3 linked regions of the Daphnia pulex genome follow. The protein of the gene in region 1 purifies or fractionates together with the protein of each later gene. This does not show direct contact. Links are inferred from orthologs where the notes say so. Each region holds a gene or a part of one and is shown in the gene's direction. Other genes may lie near its edges.

Region 1 (4,034 bases):
TAAAACTACTCAATTCCCGTCATTATTTCGTAATAACAAGTGGTTTTAGTTCTTATGGGAGATAAGCCAGTCTGATAGACGCACTATCAGTAATTTGTACCTGAGACATTTAATTGGCCGCCAACGAACCAACGGAATAAGCCCGTCTCCATATCGCAATCCGAGACTTTTTCAAAATTGCGACTCCAGCGCAGGCGCTCCAAAGCTAGCGTACCCCAGAACAGGTCCGTCTGTCAAAACGCCAATTGAAAATTAAATGCTAAAATTATGCTGAGGGCTACAAAATTTTCATTAGTACGTTTCAAACAAGTCATAGCGCTCGAAATAACTGGATTTCATAAATCAAAGTTATATTCAATTCATCCACATTTGGCTGTATTAGAAAACTAGTGGATGCTGTAGGCAAAACGCCACGAAAACAAGATTTTCGAAAGCAGCGCAAAACTTCTTCCGTATTCAACAATAATCGATTGTTTTACACGCATACACACGTACTAGCCACATCGTCAAATATTTGATCTGTCCCTCTAGCTACAACCTTATTTTTAACCTTCAAACACAAAATCAACAAGGTAACACAAGGTTGTCTATAGCGTCTACGGCTCTACGTGGGCGCAGCATACGGTTGACAAATAAAGCCAACAAACCTCATTGATGCTGAAGTTGTAAAGTTCCTCGTAACTGGAACAGCCAGGAAAAACATCTTTCAGCTCAGGTAGACTAAACACGCTGGCCGTAGGTGAATCCATTGCAATTTTTCAAAAATCAACGACCGTCGTTCACTAAACAAGAGTTTTCGGCGATTTTCCTGTGTGCACTTATGGGTATGATGAATGTTTGATTCAAGTAGCAGAAGTGTTCACTGTATAACTAGAATGTATGTCAGGGAGCATCGAAACTTGTAAGTCCAGCCAGTCCACTCAACAGCCAAGGACTGTGATCCAAATGGGAAATGACAGAATGCCAGTGGCTACTAGACTCTTAGCGCAGCTGTAAACATACAATTTTTGTAAACATCGATTTTTTAAAAGATCGATAGATTAACTTTTGACATTTCTAATTTCTAAAACAGAAAAGTATTTATTAATTGAAGTTTCCTAAATGAATTTATGTTTAATAATTTATAACTGTATCTTGTGTATATTTGTTTATTAATCTTATAAAAAATAAATATTTTCTGTTTTGGTATTCATCCATAGATGGCGCAGTATATGCAAGTTGCAGTAATACAAATACATGACAGCGATTATGACCCCAGTCTCGGAATTCACCACAATATTTTGAAGTAAAAAAGTGATTTGTTGAAATTCCATCATGGACTTCCTTGCCGAAATGGAGCAGGTTTGTTGCGTGTTAAAAATGTTTGTAACATTTCTAAAACCGTACCACCGTTAAGGAGCCGTTTAATCCAAATGAATTCGTTGAACGTCTTGCTTGGATGACTATGGGCGTATCACATTCTTCTTCCGGCAGCGACGATTCTTTTTCCGCGACTGGTCTCTTGAATAATTTTGAGGAAACCATAAAGTAAGACACTTTACAAGGCCTGCGTTTGGTAAACACCTCATTGTTGAACATAAATTCTAGGCATCTCCAAGTTCTTCAGGTTCGTGTACAGGGAAAATGTGATAAACTTGAAACTGCTTGTAGAGAAGAGGAAAATAAACATTGGCAAAAAATGGCAAAACTTGAAGAGAAAAATAAGGTAATATTAAATCTACTTGTTGTAAAGTATGTTTTTTAATGCATGTCTTATTCAGGCTGCTGTGGAAGCATTTCATGAGTTGGACTCTAGGATAAATAATGTTGCAACAAAAGTTGTTTACTTAGGAGATCAATTGGAGAATGTCAACACTCCTAGATCTCGTGCAGTTGAAGCTCAGAAACTCCTGACCCATTTCAATGGATTTATTAAGCCTGGAGGGCCTTTCTCGCCTGTTTTTAGCGATAAGGAACAGGTGTGTTTGTTTAATATTTGAATGACGACACGTATTCATTATGTCCAATGTTCTTTCAGTTATTTGAAGCAGCAGACATAATCCAAAAATTACAGTTAGTTGCCCAAGAATTGCCTTCTAGCAAATACAGTGGTGCGCAGAAACAAATTGCGCAAAAGTACGACGAAATTGAGCGTTCGTTAATTGAGGAGTTCGCGAAAGCCCAGGTAATTAAGAATTTAATGTAAATCCATACTCACTCGTCTAAGCTTTACCGATGAGAATTCTTATGTAACCACAAGCAATCGCTCGCTCTATTAAATTTAATAACGACTATATTTGTTGACACAGTTAATTGAATTTAAATCCTTATAGGTCAAGGGAGATCGCGCTCAAATGAAACATATCGCCTCTATTTTAAGCCACTTCAAGGGATATTCCCAGTGTATCGACGCTTTCATTGAGCAAAGCCAAGCGGTATACACGATAGTATTTAGTATTTTCTTAGAATGAATATTAAAAGTTTTTATTTTTGCGATCAGGGTGCATTTTCTAGTGGCGACGTATTTTTAGATGTTGTCCCATTGTGTGAACGAAATGCAAGAGAAATGAAAGAAGTCTTCCATAACCCTGAACAAGTTATGGGAAAATTTATCCTCAACATTTTTTATGGGAAACTTCAGGTTTTGCTAATTACTTGATTTAAGAAGTGAATCACACGATAAATTTGCTCATGCTATTAGGGAACCATAAGTACTAATTTAGCAGATCGATCCAGACCCGATATTTATTTAAAGCGTCTGCATGAATTGTACTCCAGGTAATTGTCCATTACTTAAAATCATACATTTCTCCTATTTTGACCCAAAAATTTCTTTAAAAATAGGACAACAAAGTTATCGATTGATTTGGCACGCTACGACACTGGCAACGATCACGCGTTTCTATCAAAACTGGTGAAGAACATCTTTCAGCGTTATTTGGAATCATACATCAGGTGAGACCTTTTGAACGACTAACACAATAAATGACTTATATAATTTGCGTCATTGATTTAGCTTGGAAATTCGAAACTTGAAGGAGAGAAGTGCTACCGTTTTAAAGAAGTTCTACGAATACAAAAATCACCAAAAGAAACCTATCAACACTGGAGGGTAAAAGAATTGTGTAACAACTCCTAATCGTGCACCATTTTGAAAAAAAATTTCAACGTTGCAGGATTCAGGAACTAAGGCGGGATTTGCAGGCAGTCATCGTAGCAAAAACCGGTGCTGTCTGGGAAACGCATGGTGGGGAAACGTTTCTTTCAGAACAAATCGCCGTCAGTTTATTGGATGAAACCAAGCAGGCCCTCATCCGATGCCATTCCGTAAGCTCATTCTTTATTTAACTGCTTCGATCCCACTATTGACCTTTATTTCCTCGTTAAATTAGTTATCACGGTCGTCAGAATGTGCCGCCAACGCTGTTCAAATTTTGGATGTCTTGTTCCAGTTCCTTATCGACGAATTTCTTGATTATGCCCTCGAAATCGGTCTACAGGTTTTGTATTACATCGATAGTTGTTGGCGAATAAAATATTTAACTTCCTTAATTGATAAATAGGCTATACCGCCAGGAGAAAGCAAAGTGCAACCAGAGTTATATTTTTTTGGTGTAGTTCGTGAAGTCAACGCCATTGTTCATCTAATGGATAAACTTTTTCACGATAGCATTATCCCTTTGGTGGTGTAAGTTAATTCAAATATTTATGTTTGAGTCCTATTTCATAATTTGCTGTTTGTACAGATCTACTCCTAAGCATGGTGAATGTTTACAACGAAAGAAAACTATCTCAGAGCAGCTAGAAAACAAACTAGAAATTGGAGTCGATCGGTCTCTATCTGCCATCGTGGGTTACGTTAAAGTGACCCTACAATCAGAACAAAAGAAAGGAGACTTCAAACCAGAAGGAGATGAAGCTGTCATTGCATCTCCCGTAATTGTGCTTCTAACATTTCATATGACATTCGGCTAAAATAATTTGAACCCAATCTAGGCCTGTATTAAAGTGTGTCGCTTCGTCTCGGTCCAAACTGAGAGGATCAGAAATTCTCT
Region 2 (4,259 bases), on another chromosome or scaffold:
GTAGACAAACTTTTTGTAAGCTCCATGATTAAGTAGCGAGCGAACATAGTCACAAAATTTGACATCATCTCCTAGACAACGGGGTAACCCATATACACCTTGGTGTTGAGAGCCTAAAGTGACTAGATTTACCATCGGAGGATCAGGGCAACGTTGAGCTACAGCTCTCCTATAATAAGCAGAAAATTAAAATGATTCAAAGATAATCTTAACTATTCAACAATAAAGATATAATTACAAGAACTGCCCCCCTTGAGATACCCCTAATCCATGATATCCTAATGCTAATTTAGGGTCATTTTTGATCAGATCACACACAAATTCAACTTGATCGTTTGCATTCTTGATGTATGCATTTTCAAAATCCTACATAATATTGGAATTGTTGGTGTAAATTTTTAATTGAGCTATACTGAATTAATACCTCACGAATGGTCTTGCCAATCTTCAGCGAAATTACATAGACCTCAGGAATTTGTTGTTGTATAAATTTTTGTAGGCCCCCAATACTCAATGGATTGCAGCAAACATCACCTACATACCCATTTCAAAATTTATCATGAAATTGTGAATGAAGTAGAAACCTTAAATGTGATTACCTAATCCGTGCCAGATCACAATTGGTAGTATTGATAAAACCATTTGACAATTTATTAATAAGAGGAAAACACACATTAAGGGAAGTGTGTACTTCATTCTTGATTCTTTACCCAAGGAGGACTACTCATACACTTACGGGGTCAAGCTAATAAGTTGGCTTGGAATTTAGACAAAGCAGTTACGTAATTGAATTACAACCATGCACGAGTTTCTCACGTTGACATTTGACATTGACATTTGTGTATTTGACATTTCTTGGTGCTGGGCTGGCTTCAAAATTTATTCTTTTTTCAAGGTTAGTGTTGACTATTTTCAACAGGTGGCCAGGTTGGTTCATAATCGATCTCAATAGAGGGCTATTCAAGCGATCTTAAAAAAAAAGAATGTTGCAGGAAAAACAACAAAATCGTAAAAAGGTTATTAAAATAATTTAAAGTCGCTTCAAAAAAACGTAGAACTGCGGGTCATCGAAAGGGTGACGGCAAAATAGTTCACGAGTCACCACCGTTTTGGAGTTTTCCCATTTTTCTACGACACAACTTCCGTGAAAACAAGAACCCATTTAGAACTTAGTAAAATCAGATTTCCATTTTACCTCAGATTACCTTTTACCAAAACAAACTGGTATATCTGAGCGCTTTTTTTCTTTATGAGCCGTATTTCGTCATTAGCCACATTTTAGTGGGGCTCGGATTGCTCCCATGTGCTTGCGATTATAATGGACTCAACGTTGAATATTTTCTTCCATAATAGACGGCGACGTCTTTTTTAGATTTTTTTCTTTGTCCAACTTCAACTTGACGCACCAATCGAGGAATTTACTTTTTTTTGTTAATTACCTATTTACCTACCGTCTACCCTACCGAAATAAAAGACCGTTTTTTTCTAGCCGGTAGATGGCGAGAAACGAAACAACTGACAGAAATTCAGCAAAATGTCAGATTTTAATCATAAACATGAAAAGGTTACTTTTTTGTTTTATATAGGCCTACTTAGTTCTTCTTTATATCATTTGATTTTATTTGTTTTAAATACTAATTTTAAAGGTTTGAATATTAAACTCAATTTCTTGTTACAAAATTCAAATTTCTTTGCTGTGACTGGATACTCACATATATGACTGGTTATATTGACATATTGTATCAAACAAATAATGGGTTTAATTAATGATTGGTAAAGGTGCTGACAGGACTAGTCTTTCTTCAAGATGCTGCTTCTAGAAGTTCTCAGCTTACTAATGGAATGGTCAATATTTTGACTTCATTTGATGAAAGGCTTGCGAGACTTGAAAAGACCATTTTACCAGTCTACAATGAGACAAAAAATTTGCAACAGAAACAAGAAAGTAAATTATTAATGAGATCTCATATAATATCAATATTTCTTGTATTTCTAAATTTACAAAATCTAAATTTCTTTTTAACTTTCTTCGTGTTTATAGACATTGATAAAACATTAGCCTCTTTGGATCATGTCATTAGCTATTACAGTGTCAGCAAGGAAGTTGAGCCTGTCATAAAAGAGAGCCCTTCAAGTCAGGGTCTAGAAATTTTTCTCCAATCCCTCGGTCGATTGCAAGAAGCTATGCATTTCTTTGAGAGAAATAATCCACAGAGTGTGGAGTTAGAAAATGTTGTAAGTTTCATTTTTATTTACAATCACCATACCTTACAAACTTAAAAAACAACTTTTGTATTAGATGAGCCTATTTGAAACTGGCAAAGATAATATTATCAGCGAATTTAAAGAACACCTAGCAAAACATAGTCAAACCATTCCTGCTACAGCACTTTTGGAAGCTCTAGCAAATGATGAAGGTGAACCCCATTTATCTATAACTACCTGAAAATTCAATGTAATGTTCCATTTTCATTCCAGAGGAGATAAGTATAAATCACTTCTCTGCAGATGTGAAAGACAATTTGATGCAAATAGCTGATTGGCTTGTAACTCACAATGAAGATGACTTCATGAATGTAACTTGTAATCATCAATCATTAATCCACGACATATTAAATAAACTTTGTCACTGATTTACTTTCCAGGTTTACGCTCGGTTTCGCGCAAATACTGTGCAGAAAACCCTTCTTGGCCTTCGTGATCATTTGAGAAGTTCATCTACTGGGGTATCGAGTCACCAAGGCGTGAGTCCCGTAGCTGCCATGTCGGGAACGGCTACATTGCTGGTAATCTAATATTTATTGTGACTACTATTAGGCAATATATAATGAACTTCTTTTATAATTTTCAGGCAAAATCAGGTGTCAAAGCCAGTTATGACACTCCAAGTAGAAAGACATCTAAGAAACTACAGCAAATGCTTGAGCGCAAGGCCAACCAAATGCTTTTGAAAGCTTCTCAAACGTTGGAAAGCTCTACAGGACTGGCTTTGGGCCCCAGGAGAAGCGCTGCGGGTGAGAAGACGAAATTAAATTTATTTTACTTTTTCCCAATTATCATTATTGTTTCTTCTTCAGACAGTATAAAAGAAGATGCTGTCGAAGAACACGAAATCGAATCGTTCTTAACCGAATTCACGGCACTTTTGCGACTACTGCAGAGTGAACTGAGACTTATGTTGGGTATTGTCCCTTTGCCGCATCAAAAAGCTGTTCTGTCTATCATTCTCAGAGACGCATTGGAAATGATCTGTCACGATGCCGAGGTTGGAAATATTCTTGATTCAATTTCATCGGTTAGTCATTCTTGTACTTTACTAATTTTTAGAGCTTAAGCGGCCGAGCGCGCCGAAGTGTTTCTCGTCAAGAGTTCGGTCCCGTTTTGCTTCTTTTTCCTGCCTTACGCCATTTAGTGTGTTTTAAAGGCGACTGTGATAAATTGCTGGAAGGATGCGATTCTTCTGTTCGCACACGATTTTACGCAATGGTTAATAATCTCCATACAACCGTAAGCTAATAACTCACCATAATTTAGATTCGTTTTTATCACTGTGTTATTTTGTGATTGATTAGTGCGGCAAGGCCCTTGAAGACTTTGCAGAATCTGTGCGTTCTGAATCTGCAGCTCCATTGCCTAGAGATGGCACGGTCTATGAAATGACGAGCAATGTCGTTCTTTTTCTCGGCCAGTTGACTGATTTGTCTGACACAGTCGGTCCGCTTCTCGCCCAAGATCAAAGTTATTCCAACGCATTGGTACACACTCAACCCTGGCCGAAACCTCAGAGAAACAAAGCTTTACTAGGACTTTATATCAGTAATTCATTTTTCTTGTTCAGGTTTAACTTAAAATCTGGTTTGATTAACAAATTACCCTTTTTTTTTTAGAAAAAGTGTTGGTTCAACTAAATTTAACTTTAGTTACTAAAAGCGATGCGTACAGCGATTCTTCTTTGCGCTATATTTTTCGATTAAATAACAGCCACTATTTGTTAAGCGCACTACAGCGTAGTGGCCTACTAGACCTGTTGAAGGTAAAGCACAAAATTGTAGTCAAAGTAAATGTAATCACATATTTTGGTGTTTTTAGGTTGTGGAACCAGAATGCGAGCCGATTTACCGAGAAATGATCAACGAACAGAAGAGGCTTTATTCTCAAAGGTATTGATACTTTGTTCCTTTCCTTTGAATTTTTTGTTGAACTCACCGTTACTATTCAATTAATTAAATAACCTACAGTTGGAACAAGGTCTTAGCCCC
Region 3 (4,253 bases), on another chromosome or scaffold:
TGCTGAACCGGGGGTATGTATGTACGGGGGCCGAGCATCAAAGCTGTTCTCTTTCAGTTTGGCTGGCTGTCTCTTCAAATCGTGTGTCAATCTGTTTGGATCGGACGCAATCTGTCAGTCCAGACAAATTTGACCTTTTCACTATTGCCATTAAACATGACCATCGATTACTGCTTTTTGCCATATTATCCTTTCTAGCGCAAGTAGAATGCTACAATGAATCATTTGCCATCAATTTAAAAGTATAACAAATAAATAAAGACTCCAGTTTGGGTTTATCGTAGTAGGTTATACATGGCGGTTGAACATCCGATGCAATGCTGAACGAATGAATTTACGAGCAGTGAAAAGAACAATACCGCTATTATGCCATAATAACGCCTACGGACAATATGCTAATTAACATTTGATGGAAAGAACAAAGTTTCGTCCTAATTTGCGTAAGATACTCGACGAATTAATGCAGCGCCTACGATCCTACGTGAAACAACAACAGTTTTTGTTCAAGAAATCGAGCATCAGATGTTTCTACAACGAAACAATCGCCTAAAAGTCCCGTGGGTTGCCATCTTTATAAACGATGCGTTAGTTTACATAATCCCGTTTTGTTTTCGCTCTGTTTTTCAGATAATGAGACGATCCCTTTTTTTTAGCAAGTATCTCCTATGTATTTTTATTTACTCGATGTATTATTAATGAACATCTTTGACGAAACAATCAACTTACCACTCTACATTTTAACAGGCGTGCTGTGTTGCATTATCATTTCCGCAAAACTAATTGGTAATTGGCTCAATGCTATTATCCCTTTATATTAAGGCAATTTGTTAGGCTCACTTGTTGTTTTACGCACAAACTATAGGATAAAACATAGTTGGACAACGTGCTGTGTTATAATAAGATAAATATTTGAAATTGGGCATTATCAAAAATCGTGAGCATAACGGGATGACTACCGGATGTGTAATTAACGTATAAAATCGATTTTCGAAAAAAACAAAGAAAAATAAAATGACAAAATGTAGAGTAGGCTACCTACCTTCCCAATCGATCCTTTCGCGTTTCCCCCTTACTAATACGGCGCTACGCCAGCCGTTTTTTTTTTTTTTTTAACTTTTAAAATTTTAATTAATAGATTAACCTTTAGTTACTTAAGAAAACAGTCAGCCTACTCGTTGTTATCAAGTGTCACACCCTACACACAAAAAACAAAAAACACCGTGGCTTTTCCCATACTAAGAAAAACTAATCTATAAGATATAGGTCATAGGGGGAGAAACCGAAAAACGCGAAAGAGATTAATTCATATTTAGGTGGGTGCTGTATTTTGTTAAGATGATTTCAAAGATATTGCGTAATAAATAGGAGAAAAATTAATTAAAATAAACCGGCAAAGGCGAGAAGAAATATTGGAAAATCGATTGTAAGCCCCAAAATCGATCTCTAATGAACGCCCAGTCGGCCCAGTGACGAAAAACTGCCAGAGTGACAAATCATGGAATAACAAATAATAATAAAATATTTATCTTAAATATACGAAGGTGATAATTCTAGCAACCACAAGGAGCGGAGAATCAGGTAATAATTGAGGAATCACTAAAATAACCCAAAACTGAATAACAATTGTGACAATTGAATGTTAAACTAGGTTGTCAACAAAACACAAGTTGTTTGTTGTTTTCTTGGTAGTTGTAGGTTTGTGATAATAGAGAAATGAATATTGAAGTTCTTCAAGAAGAGGCAATGCTCTCTGCTTCTGTTTCATTGTCATCAATGTTGCAGCGCCCTGATCAGCTTGAAAAGGTAAAAGCTCATTTTTTGGATTGTTTCCGTAAAAAAACCTTAAAATGTAAACAACATAATTATATGTTATAACCTGATGTTATGTTTATTTGTTTTGTTTTTGTTTTATTAAATTTAGGTGGAGCAGTACAAACAACGAGTAACTAGGAAAAAAACTTCAGTTGAAGCAATGCTGAAAACAGCTGTGCAAAGTCAACTTGATGGTGTGATAAGTGGGCTGCAACAATTGCAATCAGCATTGGTTGATATTAATGACATTCGTCATAGGTATCAAAGCACATTTAAAAATGTTCACAGATGACTTCTAGACTACTACAATTATTATATTGTGTTATGTTGGCATTTAAAGGTTACATGAAATTGAAGAGTGTGTCACAACAATTCCCACACTATGTGAAAGTGTTAAAAATGTAAGGCAAGAACATGTTGTTTATTCACAATATGCTGTTGCCATGGAAAATTTGAAACATATTTTCACTGTTCCAGAAAGGTAACTTTTACATAGTTTTTTAAATTTTAAATTACTGTTTTTCTTTCAATTGAACTACTCTAACTAATTTTCAATGGCAAAATTAAAAGACATAGTTTATAATCTGGGATACATTTTAGACTTTAGTCACTAGCTGCAAGTTATTGGCCAACTAAACATGAAAATATGATGCTAAATTAACTTAGAATTACCAGCTTAAATATAAGAAACTTAGAAATGTTATTATTTCATTATCAATATAGAATATAACCATTAAAAATCCGACTTTTGTTCTAGTGTCGATAAAACTCGCCAGTGGATATCCGAAGGAAAACTTCTTCATGCGCATCAAAGTCTTACGGATCTAGAGAACTCACGTGATGACTTGCTCTACGAACTCCACAGGTTACCTAATCATTCTTTGCAAGATAAGCAAATGCTTAAGGTCTGAACATATTTTCTATTTTTATTCGCACGATGTAAATATGTAATACTCATTTAAGGAATTGTCTCAATCCGACAGGCGTATTTTTCTGGAGTGCAACAGTTGTCAGAACAATTGGGAAAGCAGCTGTGGTTACTTTTGGGTAGATCTTTGAACACAGTTCGGAAGGAACCGCAAGTGATTGTTACAGCAGTTCGAATTATTGAGCGGGAAGAACGTGCGGATGCTTATGCGGTGCAGCGTCAAAAGCAAAGTGGATTCTTGCCACCGGATAGACCAAAAAGATGGAAAGGTGATTTTCAAAATGTTAGTGCACATTTAACACATTTAATCTGTCTTATTATATCAACTTTTAGCAAGAGCACTGGAAGTTCTATACGATGCGGTCGTTGAAAGAATAGAGGGCAATCAATTCGAAGAGAGAGCTGACAATAAAATGTGGCTAGTGCGTCACCTTGAGGTGACTCGTTTGCTGATTATCGAAGATCTTCGTGTGGTGAAAACTCTGTGCGCCCCTTGCTTTCCTCCTCATTGGGATATCGTCAATCAGTTTTACCAGAAATATCACACGAGCATCAGTAAACACCTCGAAGAAGTGATTACAGCTGGCCTGGTTGGCAATGAATTTGTTACACTGTTGTCATGGGTGCTACAGACATATCCAGGTCCAGAGCTTCTCCGACACCAGGATGTCAACATCGACCCTACTTCCTTAGGGCCAATTTTGAGCGATTCTACCATAGAAAAGCTTTTCCAGGTAGCTCCAGAAATTTGTCATAATCTGCTCCTTTATACGTAACTTATGACATTTGTACATTTATTTAGGAATATATAAGTAATATGGCCTCAAACTACAACGACTGGATGCAAAAGACTGTTGATGCAGAGGCCAGGGATTGGAGACGACCCATCGTTCCGGAATCGGACGGCGATGGTCATTATCACACCGAGTCGATCGTTATCATTTTTCAAGTAATTATTCTTAGTTTCTTTTGGCAAATCGTGATGTAAAACGATTATTCACTTTTCGTTTTAACTCATTGTTTAGATGGTGGAGCAAAATCTAAGTGTGTCGCGTACAATAAGCAACGAATTGATGATGCGGGCATTGATTTTGGGACTGGAACAAATCACGCAGTATGGAGAGATGTACCGAGAAGCGATAAATCTTTTCAAAAACAAACACTTTGAAGATAGAAGCCAAGTATTTGCGTCGCAATACAGTTACATTTAGTGAATTACTAATTGGTTCTCTCTCTTTCAAGGTGCCTTATTTTACACACTACATGATCGCAATTATCAACAACTGCCTGCACGCGATGGAACTTTCTCAGCAAATGAGATCTCGGAATGGGAATAAGGGTGATCAAAGTGGCACTTCATCATTTTTCAACAAATTCGAAATTCTTAGCCAAACTTACGATGTAAGGCCTATAACCTATTACTAGTTTAAAGAGGACCCAAACTAATAGTGATTTGAAAATCAGAGCCTTAGGAATGAGGCAGCTGGATTTTTGCTAGATGAGGCTTTCCTGG

What was found.
Region 2: the proteins of exocyst complex component 5-like (region 1) and exocyst complex component 7-like fractionate together in Homo sapiens (co-fractionation; 4 studies listed by BioGRID and IntAct, with this or other methods). This does not show direct contact. The link is inferred for Daphnia pulex from reciprocal best matches to the Homo sapiens genes EXOC5 and EXOC7.
Region 3: the proteins of exocyst complex component 5-like (region 1) and exocyst complex component 3-like purify together in Homo sapiens (affinity purification with mass spectrometry; 7 studies listed by BioGRID and IntAct, counting the BioPlex papers as one, with this or other methods). This does not show direct contact. The link is inferred for Daphnia pulex from reciprocal best matches to the Homo sapiens genes EXOC5 and EXOC3.

The regions. Positions count from the first base shown.
Region 1 is NC_060021.1:6,829,954-6,833,987, forward strand, and holds the start of exocyst complex component 5-like, read left to right. Parts: upstream 1-1,203; 5' UTR 1,204-1,314; coding exon 1,315-1,341; intron 1,342-1,396; coding exon 1,397-1,527; intron 1,528-1,587; coding exon 1,588-1,705; intron 1,706-1,760; coding exon 1,761-1,958; intron 1,959-2,017; coding exon 2,018-2,164; intron 2,165-2,312; coding exon 2,313-2,414; intron 2,415-2,479; coding exon 2,480-2,620; intron 2,621-2,680; coding exon 2,681-2,757; intron 2,758-2,823; coding exon 2,824-2,934; intron 2,935-2,995; coding exon 2,996-3,091; intron 3,092-3,155; coding exon 3,156-3,306; intron 3,307-3,371; coding exon 3,372-3,479; intron 3,480-3,542; coding exon 3,543-3,667; intron 3,668-3,725; coding exon 3,726-3,915; intron 3,916-3,975; coding exon 3,976-4,034. Other genes in the region: acetyl-coenzyme A synthetase 2-like, mitochondrial, read right to left, coding at 101-230, 648-749. UniProt on the Homo sapiens protein: Component of the exocyst complex involved in the docking of exocytic vesicles with fusion sites on the plasma membrane.
Region 2 is NC_060020.1:3,980,199-3,984,457, reverse strand, and holds the start of exocyst complex component 7-like, read left to right. Parts: upstream 1-1,432; 5' UTR 1,433-1,534; coding exon 1,535-1,564; intron 1,565-1,700; exon of another isoform or gene 1,701-1,723; intron 1,724-1,779; coding exon 1,780-1,945; intron 1,946-2,041; coding exon 2,042-2,235; intron 2,236-2,299; coding exon 2,300-2,417; intron 2,418-2,478; coding exon 2,479-2,576; intron 2,577-2,645; coding exon 2,646-2,786; intron 2,787-2,851; coding exon 2,852-3,014; intron 3,015-3,077; coding exon 3,078-3,265; intron 3,266-3,327; coding exon 3,328-3,507; intron 3,508-3,572; coding exon 3,573-3,816; intron 3,817-3,887; coding exon 3,888-4,033; intron 4,034-4,089; coding exon 4,090-4,160; intron 4,161-4,238; coding exon 4,239-4,259. Other genes in the region: palmitoyl-protein thioesterase 1-like, read right to left, coding at 11-169, 239-366, 425-534, 600-696. UniProt on the Homo sapiens protein: Component of the exocyst complex involved in the docking of exocytic vesicles with fusion sites on the plasma membrane.
Region 3 is NC_060017.1:4,105,240-4,109,492, reverse strand, and holds the start of exocyst complex component 3-like, read left to right. Parts: upstream 1-1,426; 5' UTR 1,427-1,578; intron 1,579-1,648; 5' UTR 1,649-1,713; coding exon 1,714-1,803; intron 1,804-1,921; coding exon 1,922-2,070; intron 2,071-2,152; coding exon 2,153-2,293; intron 2,294-2,569; coding exon 2,570-2,717; intron 2,718-2,795; coding exon 2,796-3,009; intron 3,010-3,073; coding exon 3,074-3,474; intron 3,475-3,542; coding exon 3,543-3,689; intron 3,690-3,765; coding exon 3,766-3,921; intron 3,922-3,982; coding exon 3,983-4,141; intron 4,142-4,204; coding exon 4,205-4,253. UniProt on the Homo sapiens protein: Component of the exocyst complex involved in the docking of exocytic vesicles with fusion sites on the plasma membrane.